2 linked regions of the Danio rerio genome follow. The protein of the gene in region 1 purifies or fractionates together with the protein of each later gene. This does not show direct contact. Links are inferred from orthologs where the notes say so. Each region holds a gene or a part of one and is shown on either strand. Other genes may lie near its edges. The genes, in order: max and cbx3a.

The links.
Region 2: the proteins of max (region 1) and cbx3a purify together in Homo sapiens (affinity purification with mass spectrometry; 3 studies listed by BioGRID and IntAct, with this or other methods). This does not show direct contact. The link is inferred for Danio rerio from reciprocal best matches to the Homo sapiens genes MAX and CBX3.

The regions. Positions count from the first base shown.
Region 1 is NC_133195.1:31,576,282-31,580,607, reverse strand, and holds the start of max (protein max), read left to right. Parts: upstream 1-1,379; 5' UTR 1,380-1,487; coding exon 1,488-1,523; intron 1,524-1,852; coding exon 1,853-1,879; intron 1,880-4,326. UniProt on the Homo sapiens protein: Transcription regulator. Forms a sequence-specific DNA-binding protein complex with MYC or MAD which recognizes the core sequence 5'-CAC[GA]TG-3'. The MYC:MAX complex is a transcriptional activator, whereas the MAD:MAX complex is a repressor.
Region 2 is NC_133194.1:22,210,500-22,214,793, forward strand, and holds the start of cbx3a (chromobox protein homolog 3a), read right to left. Parts: upstream 2,835-4,294; 5' UTR 2,636-2,834; coding exon 2,633-2,635; intron 1,910-2,632; coding exon 1,770-1,909; intron 1,387-1,769; coding exon 1,218-1,386; intron 1,108-1,217; coding exon 1,013-1,107; intron 123-1,012; coding exon 1-122.

The sequences.
Region 1 (4,326 bases):
TCCGCTGTGGCGTCCGAAGGAAATTAATGTCTAAGCCGAAAGGAAAATGAATATGTATGAATGAATGAATGAATGAATTTCATATTCCTTTATTATAAATTTTAAGGAAATACTTTTGGTGTATCAAAAAGTGTTTATGATCCATCCGACAAGCGAATCCAGCTAAAAATAGTGCTAAACATAATAATTAAATAGAAAATAAGGCGATAACTGCAAAAAGGTCCACATTTTGAGAAAAAAACAACCACCTCTTTCATCAGGCTGCTATGGGCCTGCTATTAAAGAATCAGGATCAGTTTTATTTTGAAATGCATTATATAGTTTTCTATGTTATAGTTTTCTTCTGAAATGATCTGCTGTATTTGATCTAGATAATTGATTAAAATTACAAAACTAAATACTTTTCCCTTATAATTTAAAGTTGAAACAACTGTCTATATAAAGATTTATTTTTGCCCGATCACAGTCATAACAACAGCAGTTGTTTGTTAAAGGGTTTTAAATTATTAATATTAAAGTATTTTCAGTAATCTCTGATCACACTATTGATAACAGTATAAAGTAGGCCCACTACTAATGAATCAAAATTGTGTTTTCTAAGACACAGCTTTATACTGTTATGAATAACACCATTATTAGAGAATCAGGATCAGTTCTGTTTTAAAATGAGATATGTTACATTAAATTTGTCATGACAACAAGTTTTCCTCTGAAATATTTTGTAGCTACAGAATTATTATTATGCTTTAATACAGCTGTGATAAAACCACCACATCCATAATAATCAAAATAGCCAAAACAACATTGTTTTTATTCTCCGGGTTTTTTTTATATAATTGTTATTAATAAAGTATTAGCAGAAACTGACATCCAAACCGTGCTGTTTTTGTTTGTTTATTTCTGTCATTTTAAACTGTCATCAAGTTCACATTTAAAGTAGGTCGTTAGAGTAACCATGTTTCTGTGTTTTTATAGCTCTGATAAGAGTACTAAAACAAGAATATTACCAATGGTCTAAATATTTTTATAGTTTGCAATTACTCACAAATATGCACAGTATTAGTGACCCACGTATTAGTCACAAACAACGCTGAGCAATCTCCACGTGTCTTGCTGGTTCCGAGACATGTAAATGAACTACAATTACCACCTCCCATTGCCACCATAAGGGCTTTCCTTCAACCCCATGTAGAGACTCCGCCCAGAAAAGCTGTCTGGGTGTTGTAGTCCTACACAATAGTTCCGTGGTTACATCCACCGACTGCGTAACTTAAACAAACGACAAGTCCCACGATGCTCTGCGGCGCAATCACAGACGTGACACGCCACGGTAAATGTCCGTGTGTAGGCGAGTCACGTGTGGGGAGTCCGTTGATCTCGTTTCGTGTAAGCAGTGAATCTCTCCTGTTTGTTCATTTGATTTGGGCCCCGTTTCATGTTGTTTTCAAAACAACATTTCGTGTAGATTTATCTATCTTCGCCGAAGAATGAGCGACAACGATGATATCGAGGTCGACAGTGATGTGAGTATAGTTATTTTTGTTTGTACTCTGCATGTTTGAAAATGAAACCTCTTGTATTTTCGATACTTGAGCCTCAATACGGGGCTAGCCTGCTAGCTAGTTAGCCAGCCAACCTAGCGTTTGAAATAATTTCCCAGCCAGTTTATTGAGAATATCCAGCCAGATAAGCGATTAAACACGGGGGTCGAGTCTATACTCGTCTCCGTATGTGTACATTTGCGATTATGTGTAAGTTACTAAAACAGTGTATTGCATCCATCAAATAGCCAGTTAAGTATCACTCTTACAGCTGTAGCTACAATTGTACTTTCTGTTCTGTTTTCTTACAGGAAGATTCACCGAGATTTCACGGTGTGGTGCGTAATAAGCGGAGCAATTAATCCAGTTTAGCCTTTAATGCTGAAAATATCTTCTCTTTTTGAGATTAGCTACCATATATTTCCGGGTAGGTACTGAACGCCGACTGATTTGCATCGGTGGAAGACAAAACAATATAGGATGATGCCTTAAAAGGGGGCATGGATGTGTTGGATTCGATGAGCACCGGGGTCTGCTTGTTTTGGGTGGTTCGGGGAGCTCTGTGCTCGACAGCAGGGCACTTGCTGCAGGAGGGAGGGAGGGACGTTGGCTGAGCGAGAGCCGCAGCCACACTGCGAGTGCGCGACGCGATAGCCCAAAAGCTCGCGTCGCAGAAAGCCAGCAGCGAGATCTCTGTATCCGAGCATTCTGCTGTGTCGTGACGCTCGCAGTGTGTGTGTGGCGCAGTAGTTAGACGATGGAAATATACGACGGCAGGGTTATCATTTGAAATCTATGGCTTTAACATCAATGGTGTCTTGTTTTTGTTAGATCAGACCGTATATGAATAAATAAGCAACATTAAATATTAATACTGAACCTATGGAACATCCCCCTTGCCGATTTCCAAAGACATTTTGTACATTGTTTATACTAAATTGTCAATGTACGGATAAATTATTTTAAAATGATAGTAATACACATATCTTTGTTATATTAAAAAAAGGGTTTAATGGGGATTCTGTGACTCTTATTTTTCTAAATTAGAGAAATCTTAAATTCGTAATGGCATTGGCATTAATGTTGAATGTGCTTAAACATGTAATATCTAAACAAGCAAAAATGAATACATTTAATTTACTTTTGCAATAAATTGAACAAGTCAGGTTATGCTTAAAACAACAACAACAAATATCTGTCAACAGGGAACGAAAATTGATGAGTTGATTTTTTGAGCTCAATAAGCTCAAATGTTTGCTGTTTTAATCATAAGCTCACTTCATTTTGATCCATTTCAGGAATTTATATCATGTCATTTTGTTTCTTAAGTAAATATCTTAGTTTAAAGATCTTTCCATATTTTATCTGCAAAACAAGACGACAATACTGAGGATAAACTAAACTTTTAACAGTGTGATGAGAACATATATTTTCTGGTTAGTGGAAATCTAGTTATACTATTTGTTTTGTAAAATGATTAAGTTGTATTTTCAAATTGTGTTCACTGTCAATTTAGAGAAAATGTTGAGTTGACTTATGTGACCCTGCTACACTAACCCAGTCTTATGTTGCATGTCAATATCATTATATGGGTACATGATAAATGTACATTATCAATATTTATTTTATGCTACAATTCATTACAATATTGAGTTATTTAGTAAATATACCATAAGCAAAACTAAATTTTTGATAAGTACTGTGCGTTAAACTTGAAACTCAGCTTTTTTTTTAACCCCCAGATTACAGATGTTTAAATTGCTGTATGTTGGGCAAGTATTGTCACGGACACCTCATTAGTTCAGCTTTCAGATAATGCACGAATCTTAATTCCCAAAAACGGAGACATGTCACTGGTTTTGTGCTACAGGGTCACATATTGTCTTTTTATAATTAGATTTTTTATTTAGTCAAAGTATTAAAATGACCTTCATAAACCTGCAGAAAGATTGTGGTAAAAGTTTGGAACAAATGGAGTTCACGATGCAGTATTAATTCTTTTAATGGGTTTTTAATTACAAAAATTTCCAGTCTGATCAGTGACTTTTGAGAGAAGTTGGTTTGTCATGCTTTCCTTACATTACTCATGCATTTGCAATAGCCTTTAAAAAACAACACAAACAACAGCAAAGAAAACTAGGAACATTTCTTATGATATCTTATAATCCAGATACAAATTAAGTGCAATAATCTTTAGATTTTGTAATTAAAATTAAAGAGAAGCATTTGGTGTAGAACCTTGTCGTTTCCTATCCAAAAAAACTGATAATTGCAAATTTTAAATGAGCTTGACAGATGAAACTGTCTCTGAAATACTGGGCACAGCATAAAATGGTGTGTTAAATTGAGCAATTTGACCATCAAAAGGTCATAGGTCTTTTGTTTTGTATTTATTTTTACAATACATCAGCGTTGCTTTCAGGAAATTAGATTTAGGTTTCATTTTCTGGAATAGTACCACAGTCAGTTTTCTACTAAAATGTTTATGTTCTGTCAGTGTGGTGAGAAATCGAGCCCCGCCCCTGCAATCGAGTTTGCATAGGACCCTAATGGATCGTCTACGTTGAATGCCTGATGAAAAGTACTTTCTATAAACTATTCTCAGTCTTGAGATTTTAACAAGACTAATCATATTAGTAACATTATTATCGGTAACTCCAAGTTAAAGTATTTAATGATGTCTTTTTGATATCTTTATGTATTTATATGTAACATTATATATTTACATTAGAAGTGGTAGCAAGTCGTGGGCTAAAATATATCTAAAATAAAAGCAGGAAAGAGA
Region 2 (4,294 bases), on another chromosome or scaffold:
GCTGCTCATCCTCAGGACAAGAATGCCAAGTTAGCCTTTCTTCATAAAAAGCAATAACTATCTGCGGGCAACGGGTGTTAGCCTCTCGTGCGGGAACCAGGTCCGCTTCATCAGAGTCCTTCCTGTAAACACAAGACAAAGAAGTTTATCTAGAGACCAAACAGAACAATTAGACTAGGAAGTACAGTGTTGCACTTCAAAACAATGACCTCTGCATTGCAAATGAGGTAAATTATCTTGTGGATGCTTTATTGAAGGGATGTTGAAAACCTAGATTTTAAAACAAATGTATTTTGTCAGTTTAATTTAAAATATGGATATGGATTCAAACACACACACACACATTTATTTTTTTTTCATAAAAAAAAAAAAAATTATACCATACACCTTTGATTATATATAAATAATTGTGTCCTGAGCAGTAAACACGTGGAGCACTTCTACACAAATTAAAAATTTAAGTTAAACTACCTTTTTGAATAGAAATTTGAGATGGATTGTTGGTGATTGTATGAGTTTTGACCAGATTGGCTAGCAATACACGAACATAGGAAAATTAAGACTTGTTTAAAAAAAACATTCAAGACTTACAACACAGAGTAAATGTAAGACTTTTAAGGCCTACATTTTTTATTTTGGGATTTTAGACATTAAGACCCTGCAGAAACCCTGAATAAAAATAAGCCGACACAATGAGCCCTCCAGTAAGCCTCTTTATTTTTTAATAAAAAGGTTTTATGCGTGGGACTGCTGCCCTCTACAGGCCTTTAAAACAATCTTTAAAATGAACTCAAATGTTATTCCAAAACGTTATAGCTTTCTTTTGTGGATTGTTTTTCATACAAAACAAACAAACATTTTATTTACCAAGTTAAAATAGGTTTCAAATATTCTTCATATAGTATGACTTGTAGAAGTTGAACAGATTCAAAACAAGATCAAGACTTCCCCCACTATTTTTTCTCAGCTAAACATGTTCTAAATCAATTACAAAACCACAATAGTTTCTTACCACTTCATGAGGAACATGAGCTCCCCGCTGCTGTCAGTCGCCCCAATGATTCTCTCTGGTTCAAGGTTTCTTGCAAAACCCCTAGGCTTGTCAGACTACAGTAAAAAAACAAAAAACAATATTAGTTTAGATTTAGCAAATTTAACCAATGTTAAAAAAAACATCACATCTGCTAGATATTTTAATGACCAACACAACATCTTACCATTTCCTTCTTTCGTTTTGCCTTGCTCTCTTCTGTCTCTGGTTCATCAGTGGATGATTTTCTTTTTACAGCTTCTGGTTTTTCCACCACTCCTTTCTGAGACTCAAGGAATGCGGCGATCAGCTCTGGACAGTCTAAATTTTCTTCAGGCTCCCAAGTGTTGTCAGCACTGAGGAAACATAGATACCTTGTTAAAGAGATAGTTTACTAAAAACTGAAAATTGTAATTTACTGATCCTTCACTTGCTCCAATCTTGTTAGATTTTTTTTCCATTGAACACAAATCATGTTTTTTGAGGAGAGCTGGAAACTTGTTTACATTAACTTTCACAGTATTTGCTTTTCCTGCTGTAGAAATCAATGGTTACCGGTTTTCAGGTTGCTTTATATTATCTTTAGTGTTCAAAAAAAAATCATTAAAAACTGGAACCACCTGATGGAGAGTCATTTTCCCCTACAATCTAATAGCATACAGCTACACTCACAAATCAAAATATATGCAAAAACAATTCCGTTTATTTTTCATAGCTGCAAAAGAGACGAAGTACTCACTCTGTAAAGCCTTTCCACTTGAGGAAAAACTCAACTTTTCCATTGACCACTCGCTGGTCCATTACCTTCTCCACCACAAACTCCTCAATCTCCTGAACTTCCTTCTTTGACTTGCCTGCCTGCTTCTTACCCATGTTGACCTAAATGCACACACACACAAATGACATCATAAACCAGACCTTATCATTCATTTCAAGTACTTTAAATTTAAAATGTTAAAAATTTAAGACTCTGCTCTTTTTGTATCAAAATAACAAACGAAAAGGTTTAACTGTTTATGACTTGTAATATAATAGTAAAAAGGCTAACGTTAATGTTTGCCCATTTACTAAGAAATTAAATGATACTATATGCTAGGGGGGTTCTCAAATCCAGTGATGCCTTTACGGCTAGCCTAGGGTTAAAAACGCGTTAGTATGTGGTGCCTTTTAAGTGTGCTTGAATGTTAGCGAGCTAATGGTAACTGCGCATGCATGAACAGGCCAAGGGCCCTGAAAGCGTTTCAAACTTCCCACTCGAATTTATAGCGGTTTAAGATTTCCCGGCGAACACACAGCTCGCGTGAACGTATAACTTTCCACAAAAAAATATTGTTCGCTTAATATTTGCTGAAACACGTGTTGGTTTACAGTAGCCCGCGTTAGCCAACTTGCTAGCAGGAAATGCTCACAGAAACAGACAAAACATCGCGACGTTACAAAACATTGTGCAATATGCATCCTACATTTCTGTAAAGTGAAACAACTTAAAGGGCTTAAAAGCAGATTTACAAAAATAAGCTAAAATAAACAAGACTGCAGCATTCAAACAACAAACTACAATGGACGGTGCTGCAGCACGAGAGGCATGCGCGCGAAACTCACCATGACAATGGATAAGATAAAAACTTGGATAACAAATCTTCACGCCTTCTGAACTGCAAATGGCTTTACAGAAACTGCTCCCGCGCCAACGAAGTACGCACTTTTAAAAGTTTTACTTACTTGATACTAATAAATCAAGAAGAAAAGCCGACTGAGGCTCGACGAAGGCCAGCCAGAATCGAACGCGAGGACGTAAAGCCACGCCTATCTGAGAGCAATCACGTGTATCCAATGAGTCTTACGTTGGGCGGAGCGCCTGTGAATTCAAAAGCACATCCGCAGATTACCATGGCAAAACATCTCGATTCAGTTATTTTGAGAGATACACCGTATCACTTAACTTCAATTTAAGTGTTCACTCATTAAACAGATCTCTAAAACAGATTCTCTATATGTTTAGCCTATTGCCTACTACATCCAGAACATGACACAACAAAGGGAGAACGGGGTAATGTGAGATACCCCCTGTATCTAGGCAACGAATTTTATATATCACTCTATAACAATTTTGTTTTAAAGCCCCTTCCATATCTCCTTTACCATGAATAATAGGAATTCCTGGTGCTTTGGAAAGCATGAACTACCAACATATAAAACGATGTGAGTATGCTAGCTCAAGATTAGTCTGAATTGCTAAAAAAAAAAAAAAAAATTTCTAAAATGTGGCAGTGGGGTAAAGTGAGACATTAGGCACAAGTTAAATTTAGTCTACCAGATTGTAGGACTTGTGAACGAGGCCTTCAAACGAGCAGTGACACTTCGCAACATCACTTCTGGATTTAGGTCCACTGGAATTTTTCCATGGGAAATTTTCCTTGATAAAGCATTTTGCACTATTCATGGTGTCAGACTAGGCAAATCCTGAGCTCCAGCCTGGCACTACAGAAGATTTGGATGATCTACTTCCTGCAGATGATCCACTTACAGATAGTTCACTAACTGATGCTATTCCATTCAGTGCGCATATAGTCTACATGGATGTGCCATGTGTTTCTAGCCAACCTGGATACATGTCTCTTCATGAAATGCTACCATTCTCAAATGTCTCCCCAGAACACAATCCAAATGAAACCGTGTGACACTTGAAAAGGCCTATAAAAAAAGACAAACAAAAAAAAAAACACCAAAAAAAAGAAACAAAAAGCTTAAGAATAGCAAATAAAAGGAAAAATCAAAAAAAAAAAAAGAGAAAGCAACCAAAAACAAAATCATAGTTAGCAGCTCTGGGAAAAATGATGTCCCTGTCTTAGTTGATAATGTGTCTGATGAAATGAGCTCTAAGGATGAGAGTAGTGGTCCAAGAAACACAAATCTGTCTTTGGGAGACTTTGTCATAGATAACTTTGCAACAAAAAACACAAGCGTTTATTACACTTGCATGGTTAAGGAAGTTGAGGATGACGAGATACGCACATCATGGTTTTGCCAAGTACGATCTGATCCTGGATCAACATCTATGTTTATCCTGGAGCATCATTTTTGTTGGAAATTGTAATCCATACCTATTCCCTACCCCTAAACCCAGCCATAACTGTACATTACTCTCAAAATCAGAGGGGAATAAGTTGGATAACAATCATCAGAAGTGCATAAACATAATCATAAGCCTAAACTGAACATAAACGGTAAATGTACCCCTTAATTCTGATTGGCTGATTGGAA